Linked DNA regions of Kluyveromyces lactis. The protein of the gene in region 1 binds, or shares a complex with, the protein of each later gene. Links are inferred from orthologs where the notes say so. Each region holds a gene or a part of one and is shown on either strand. Other genes may lie near its edges.

Region 1 (4,502 bases):
TAAAATGAGTATAAAATGGCCAATGAAATTCTTTGATATGACCACGATCCATGCACTATTAATAATTTTCTTAAGAACCTAAACTGACCAATGGCGAAATCAGCCGATCTCGCTGCCTGCATACCTTCCATACCACTTATGCCTACACCTACGTGAGCAGCTTGAATCATACTCACATCATTGGCACCATCACCAATTGCCAATAACAATGAAGATGTTTTTCTCTTCACCATTTTTACAACGAGAGCCTTTTGCAATGGAGACACTCTACAGCAAATAACGGCCTTACATAGCTTACCAATTGTCAAAAACTGATCTTCAAGATCTTCCTCTAAAGCATATCCTAATGATTTACCATCAATCACTAAAGCTAACGAGTTCATATCCTGCTGTGAAATTTGATGTGACTCGATGGCATTCAACTTACTTTGGAGATTCGTACGCGTATCCTCCTTAGTTTCTTCGTTTACGATCAACAAATTCATATCTTCACTTAATAGACGACAACTCATACCAATATTGATTGCAGTTTCCTGTCTATCACCAGTTAAGACCCAAACTTTCAATCCGGCCTCTTGTAAATGGTGAATTGTTTCTGGAACACCTTCTTGAAGTTTGTCTTCGATAGCTGTAGCACCCAAAAAGAAAAGGTCGTGTTCAATCAGTTCGGCTGCCCTATCCAACTCTTCAGTTCTATCCTTCATAGTTGTGGATGCTGCTTCATATATTTTACTCCATTCTTCATACTCCTTTTCCGGAATTGTCCTACTAGCGATACACAAAGTCCTTAAACCTTCAGCAGCATAATCCTCCAAATGTCTCAAGGTTGATTGAACGTATGGATTAAATTCACTATCAAGCCTCTCGAGGATCACGGTATCTGCACCTTTACAGAATAATTTAATCGAACCATCAGGCATTCTGAAAATGGCGCTCATACGTTTCCTAGTGGAGTTAAACTCACAAATGTTGAGCAATTGATATTCAAGCTGTTCACTGAATGGGGTTGAAATGGAGACCGAGTTAGGTCTACGGATATCGAATCTGAAGCCTAAGTCTGCTGCACCTTGTACCAATGCCCCCTCATCAGGGGAAGCTGCTTGATATTTGATTGTTCCGTCACTTTGTGTCTCTGGGATCACAGTATGACAAGTAGCTAATAAGGTTAAAAATTCAATGACAATGCCTGCTTCATCATCCTCAGGATCTGTCATTTTATCCTTTAGACTTTCAAAGGAATGGAAACCTATCTCAATTCCATCTTCTACAGTTGCACGTCTATCTTCAGGAATAGTTTCAATATAGCACCTGCCAGCAATAGAAACAGACTTGAATTCCATTACATTTCTCGTCAAAGTACCAGTTTTATCACTGAATATGTACTCAATTTGACCCAATTCTTCTACCAAGGATGACGTTCTAACAACGGTAGGTGTATCTGATTCCTCGTGATATAAGTCCAAGTCTGAACCTATCATATAAGCTTGGTAGTACTTTATCATTTCAACTGTAACAAATAAGGAAATGGGAACAAGGTTAGAGAATAAAATCCAGAAAGTTAGTATGTCTTTGAAAAACAAGCCAGCTTTATTAGTACCTTCGATATATAAATATCCGAGGTGAGCAGAATCCCTTTTCGTCATAATGACATTACCAGTGGAGGAAATCAAAGCTAGAACAATTAAGACACCAAACAAGGCAAGAATTTGCATATTAATGACTCTTTCCACAGCAGTACGTTTAATTGGAGTCGCAGTGGCATTTCTCATCAATTTGGTTTCGTGACCAGTGAAAACTATGAGGCCAAAAATCCAAGCAGTATTTCTCAACGTAGCACCTCTCAACAGCATTTGATCCGGAGATAGAGGGAAAGTGCTACCATTTAGCGTCATTGTACCTTCATAAGTATATAAACTGGAATTTGGGTGCTCTGACTGTACCCTTCCATGAAGTTTACAGAGAGCTTTTTCATCGAGGTAGTTTGCTGTTTCTTGTCTCGCCTGTTTAATCTTTAAATTGGTTTCACCATCGAGATTGGCTGTTTCAATGTAGCATAACCCTTCTGGTTCCGAAGAGGAAAGAATGATCAAATCAGCAGGAATTGCTTCCTCAGATCTAACTCTTATAATATCACCAACTGCTATATCAATCCACTTTTTCCTCACAAACTCTCCAGATCTTTCGTCCAAAACATCACACAGGGAATGATTCAATTCCTTATCAGCATTCGATCTTTTCAAATCTTCGACACTTTCTTTAACTGCAGAAACAATTAACACTACTAATAGTGTACCAATGGTCGTATATCTATTGGTAGGTGTAACATTAGGTACTTGCTGGATAATGGAGGTGAATAAGAAGAACAAATTCGCGTATTTGGAGAATTCTTGAAACAAAAACTTTGGCAAGAAAGTTGCAGCGTTATATTTCGTCGTAGAGATGTGATTATCTCTGTAGCCGAAACGGCTATTTGCTGAACTATCGTTGAGTAAAATCGTTCTTGGCTCGTCAGACTTACAAGAGGTTTTCCCTTTTCTGAGAATATACCTGTTGAACAAAACTTTGATGTCAAACTTCCTCGTAGAGCTTTCATACCTATTAGTGTTGCTCTGATCGTAGTCATTCATTTCGAAACTTTGGAATTGACCCTTATGTCCACCATTCATACCGACTGCACTTTTCACATTGCTCATAAATCTATTGAACCCACTTGGCTGAGGTAAGACACTATTCCTAGGGTTAGTGTCTGCAAAGGATGCTGAATAACGGTCATTGAAAGGATTTTCAATGTCGTTCTCTATGTTGTCACTGAGGTCAATGGTCTCTTGTGGGAGTAAGCCTCTCTGTGAGGTATCCATTCCTGAATCTATTACTGCACTTGGGCTGTTCCTTCTTGGACTATCCCGTAAATCCGGGGTGTAGCTATCATCAAGAAAGTCAACATCAAACAACGCATCGCTGTCGCCATGCTTAGTTGAGCCACTCATTGGAAAGCAGGTTGATCGGTGTGTCGCTCCTCTCTGGCTCTGTATCTCCCTTTCAAAGTACTTGGGTTTCATGGTGCAAATGGTTTACGAATCTTTCTGTTTAATGTGTCCTAATGGGATTTTCCGGTATAATTTACAAAGAAAAAACTGTCAGCATGGAAACAATATTTCCACGTGACTGCTATTTCGAATGCATTATTTGGGTACAGTATAACAAAATGAAGGGAAAGGGGACATACTATTGATGGTGAGATGCTATTGTAAGTGTATATAATTATTAACTATTGCCTTTGCTTCTTTATCGTAGTTGGAAATTTATCTTCAATAAATATAATAATATGTCAAATTTAATAGTATACAAATGTGGTCATGACGAGCTCTGTTTTTCAGAAACGCATCATTGTGCAAGTTCTTGTTGGTTGGAATTTAGTTCCTGTTCATATTCGATTTCAACCTTAGGATGTCTCTTTCTGGTTTGTGTAGATTTCTTTTGTCTCTTAGATGGGTTTTCTTCTTCATCGCTATCTTCGTCGCTACTGTCTTCGTCACTGTCCTCATCACTGCTGTAATCAGATGTATCAGAACCACCGAGCCATTTTTCTAAATCTTCCATATCTACCATCTCATCCTCAGCGTCTTCATCTTCTACGAATTCGACTTCTCCCTCATCGCTTTCTTCTTCCTCATCCCAATCGTTTTCTTCTTCATCCAAGTCCTCGTCTTCTACACGTCCCATGACCTTCTTCCAGATCTTTTCATCCACATTCAAAGGCTTATCACCATACACACCACTCTTCAATCTCTCAAGCAATTCTTTTTCGATAGCCTTTTCAATCTTAGCGGCTGATAATGCCTTACGTTCTCGGTTCTCTTCTCTTCTTTTCACCTTAGGAGCAATACCGACATAATGTCTCTCCTCCTCTCTCAATGCCAAACGTCTCTCTGTAATCATCACTTGTGTAAGCTTTGTCATCCTTTGCTTACACTTATGAATTAAGAACTTGTTCCAATACAGTAAATGTTCATCGATCTGTGCTAATGCCTTTGTGTAATTCTTAGATAGTTTCACTCTTTCCCACAATTTAGCAGGCGTGTGAGCTCTTTCCGCGGTCTTCATGTACAAGTAAAGTGTTCCGTCCACGTTCTTTACAGTGGCATATTTACTATTTGCCAAAGGACACGCTTGTCTCGAACATAAACCTGTTACGTTGTATTCATTTCTACAGAAGTTCTGTCCCTTATCAGTTTTGACTTTGTACGCACAAAAGTGCTGGTTGATAACCTGCCAAATGATCTCGTCAGACATCTGCTAATGTTCAGTCAATCCTACAGATACTGGTTTATGCTTAGTATGAGTTTATTTAAATTGGTTATGACTATCGCTAAGTTTACTTGCTATTCCGCTAGTCGCTGCTTCTTTCATTTCATCTCATCTCATCGCATCGCATCGATATTTTTCAGTTCTCAAAAATTTTCAGGCAGAAAGAGAAAAAAGAAATGGATTACTAAATTTTT
Region 2 (3,560 bases), on another chromosome or scaffold:
TATGGATATAGCAATTGCGAATACCGAACATGATTCAGGATTTAGGTTCTCGAACAGGGAATATTCCATTCCCACAAGGTCTCTGTTTGTGGCAGATGATGATGATGACGAAGAAAATGAAACATCCAATAATAGTGCACTAGCAATTTACGGTCAGAATAATGAACAGCACTATGAAGGTGTAGGGCCTGCTGCTGCTGTATCAATTAGGTCTCCTGCGACAGTTTCCACAGCATCATCGGTGGCTAAATTAGGTGATACGGATGACGAAGAAGATGATACCCCACGGTTCAATTTCAGATCTAGAAGGGAAATTTGATTCCTGTATAAATGTATAAATTTGTATAAATTTCCATTAATATTTTCACTTAATAACAAAACCTCTAACTTCATAAGTTTTTACAGCTTGTGGAACTTATTATTAGGTTTTTCTGACATGGCGGGTTCATTTTAGATAAAGAGTCTGTCCTTTCAACGATTATATTCTTAGCTTGAGACTCAGTGAAATGAAAAGTAGATACAACAATTTGTTCTCTATAGATTCTTCAAAAGAGTGCCAATTAGTTGTTATTGTAATATACAGAAAGATATAGTTAAATGAGGAGGACTAATAAAATCATAGAGAGTCATAGATAGAAGCATCATTTGTTCCATGATAATAAGTGAGTATCAGCCGTGGAGCGGCCCCAGAACAGATGAGATGCCAACGAAATCAGCGCAAGGATGAAACAAATACTACCTCCAACGAGATATATAATACCTGGAGCGGTGTTGCGTCCACCTAGAGTAGAACCGTGAGTGATGTATGCGGCTTTTTTACCATTGTAAATGGTAACGGGCCAATGAAGATCTATATCAAGTTGATATTGACCTTGTGGAAGTGAGTTTGCAGAACGTCTGATTAACCTTGAGAACTTCGAGAAAGCAGGTGTTCTCATCCAATTTTGAAACTCTTCCCATTCATGAATGTCCGGCATATTTGTATCATTATAACCGTCTGGGAATTGCTTTTTCCAGTAAGGTGGAGGAACAACTTCGGAAGGTGAATATTTCGTTTTCTTATAACGGTCTTTATCAGTTGACCAATTGATATTTTTGTTACTCAATTCAATAGTATCCACTTGGTCTCCACTATCCTCTGAGATCACTTGCATTGTATCAGGAAAAGTGTCATTAAACATTGCATTGGCTATTAGACCACATGGGTAGTAAATTTTTCCTGCACTATCTCTCACTAAGGGTTTACAGTTGATACCGATATTATCTTTGACTTGGCCTAAGGTAGCCTTGTCACCGATGATCTGGAATTCACTAAAGGACAACACGTATCTTCTGTGGTTTCCAAAGAAGTTTTCAATGTAGTAGTATATATACAAAGGACCCTCTAATGAATAAGGAGTTGAATATCTTAATTGACAGGTACCGGTCTGCAATTCCTCTGGATCTGGATCTGAATCTGGTACGTACTTCCATTGAGGAACAGGTAAATCGTCTTTATTATAAGCCTTGTGGAAAATGTATTTGTAATGGTCATCCGGTACGTCTGCGAAATCATCCGTTGGCGCGTTCGTATCACAGTCTTGGTAGAACACGAATATCTCATCGACATGTCTTGCATTATTGAGCATGACACCACCAAAAATTAGGAAAAGCGCTCCGAGGAAGAAATAGATGGGAAGCACTTTCTTGGGTGTTAGCACTGGATTGAAAGATGCTATTTTCTGTTGTGTAAATTTCGTCTCCTTTGGTCTTCTGGATTTAGGCTTCTTGACTACTTCATTTTCATCATCTTCAAATTCGGATGCGTCCACATCATCTTCCAATTCTACCATCGTATTGAGTCCATTTTCATCTTCTGTAGACTTTCCATCTTTACCACGTCTATGAAAGACTCCAGTTACACTTTTCCCTATATTCTTCAACGCTGTCATGGTCAGGACAATTTATATGTAGGAAGTATTGAGGGAAAAAGGTGGTTAAAACAAAAAAGAACAATTTCAAATCCGGTTGAAACACCTGTGACAGCGAGAAGGTTAACTGTCCAATTAAGTTTAAATAGAACCACTCAGTGTTTCTTTTGATATCCTGATCAACTCAGTTGACAACTCAGTTGACTGCTATACCCTCAAATTGTCATAGTTTTCCGTAACATTAGAGAAGAAGTAAAGTACAAATGAACCATCTTTTATTTTTTTTTATTTTCACTTTGAGAAGCCTTGATTATTTATTCAAAAGATTCGTGCAGGAAATTAACGGTTCAGGAAACCGAATACTGTTAAGAGACTTCCGCTTCGACGACTGGGGGGAAAGAGCTTATCATGTGCTGACACTACTTGTACGAACTAATCTGTGAGGTCATGCGATATACAATAATGATTAATAGCTGCGCTTTCGTGCAATATTGGGCATAATAAGCGCAGAGCTTATGTAATAGATTAAGCTATTCCCGCTGTGCTACAGAAGGCTAACCTTATACAAAACGTAAAACCGCCTCGAAGAAGAAAAACTGTTTGCAAGGTCACATGACATCAATATTTCTTCAAATCACGTGGACAACAACAACGACTTCTTTTTTTTTTTCCAGTTCAATTAGCCAAATCTCATGCACTCCTCAAGAATGCCAATTGACAGAACGGAGATGCAGAGAGAAACTCAGTGCGAAAGCAAGTACCAACCTTCTTTATACTGAATTGGTATCAGACACAACTGCTAGACACTTTCCCAGCACTGCTAATCCAAAGTCCGGCTACCGTTGGAATCTCTTCGAGACTTCGCACCCATTAACGTCATTTACCACGATTGACCGGCCGGAACGGCTTTACCAGGACGTCCATGATCCGGCCGAAATTGGACCATCTTTACCAACCCAGAGACTGACGCAGTTTCAACCATAGTACTCTGCTCTGAATCCTAATGTCCTTCTATACCCATCCTTTGGGCACCCAATCCAAAGATCATCTTTAACTAGAGGTGACGTGCGCCGCCAGACGGCAATTCGGTCTCTACCATAAGGCAACCAATTCCCCACCACGTAAGTACGCGTTTGCCTACCTTTTTCTTTGAGTATTTACACGTTTTTTTCCCTCTCCTTTGTGTATTCTTTCTGATAATTCCGTTCGACAGAATTCTTCTTAGAAGCAGCAGAAGAACGGCAGGAAAAGCTCATTGCATGAAACAGAACGTTAGGTTATTGTAATGATACAGGTGCTTTACTAATTGAGTTCAAAAGAAATTCTTTTTTTGTATTATGCTTATGTGTATATCAACCCTATTTACCGATGCTCGTTCCTAGTCATCCTAAGTAACCATCAATACTTGAAAATCTACAAAATGATAAAATCAGGTCTCTTTGTTATGGTTTTCTGGATTTCTTTTTGCCGATTCTGTTTAAACATTATATAAGTATATGTCATTACAAATCTGAACACAGTACAAATATGAGTTTCAGGATTTATTATTATGTCAATTGATGCAAATGTATAAAAGAAAGTGCCAGGGATCCAACTAGTAGCTGAAAGTGAGAGAAATAGTTGGTTTATATATATATTTTTCTTTTTCGG

Evidence for each region.
Region 2: DRS2 (region 1) and LEM3 share a complex: the UniProt entries of both Saccharomyces cerevisiae proteins name them as parts of the flippase complex. The link is inferred for Kluyveromyces lactis from reciprocal best matches to the Saccharomyces cerevisiae genes DRS2 and LEM3.

Annotation. Positions count from the first base shown.
Region 1 is NC_006037.1:356,597-361,098, forward strand, and holds the start of DRS2 (aminophospholipid-translocating P4-type ATPase DRS2), read right to left. Parts: upstream 3,060-4,502; coding exon 1-3,059. Other genes in the region: ribosome biosynthesis protein MAK16, read right to left, coding at 3,385-4,293. UniProt on the Saccharomyces cerevisiae protein: Catalytic component of a P4-ATPase flippase complex which catalyzes the hydrolysis of ATP coupled to the transport of phosphatidylserine and small amounts of ethanolamine from the lumen to the cytosolic leaflet of the trans-Golgi network and ensures the maintenance of asymmetric distribution of phospholipids.
Region 2 is NC_006041.1:202,225-205,784, reverse strand, and holds LEM3 (Lem3p), read right to left. Parts: upstream 1,932-3,560; coding exon 642-1,931; downstream 1-641. Other genes in the region: XRS2 (Xrs2p), read left to right, coding at 1-319; KLLA0_E02157g (uncharacterized protein), read left to right, coding at 2,523-2,894. UniProt on the Saccharomyces cerevisiae protein: Accessory component of a P4-ATPase flippase complex which catalyzes the hydrolysis of ATP coupled to the transport of glucosylceramide, phosphatidylcholine, phosphatidylethanolamine, and small amounts of phosphatidylserine from the lumenal to the cytosolic leaflet of the cell membrane and ensures the maintenance of asymmetric distribution of phospholipids.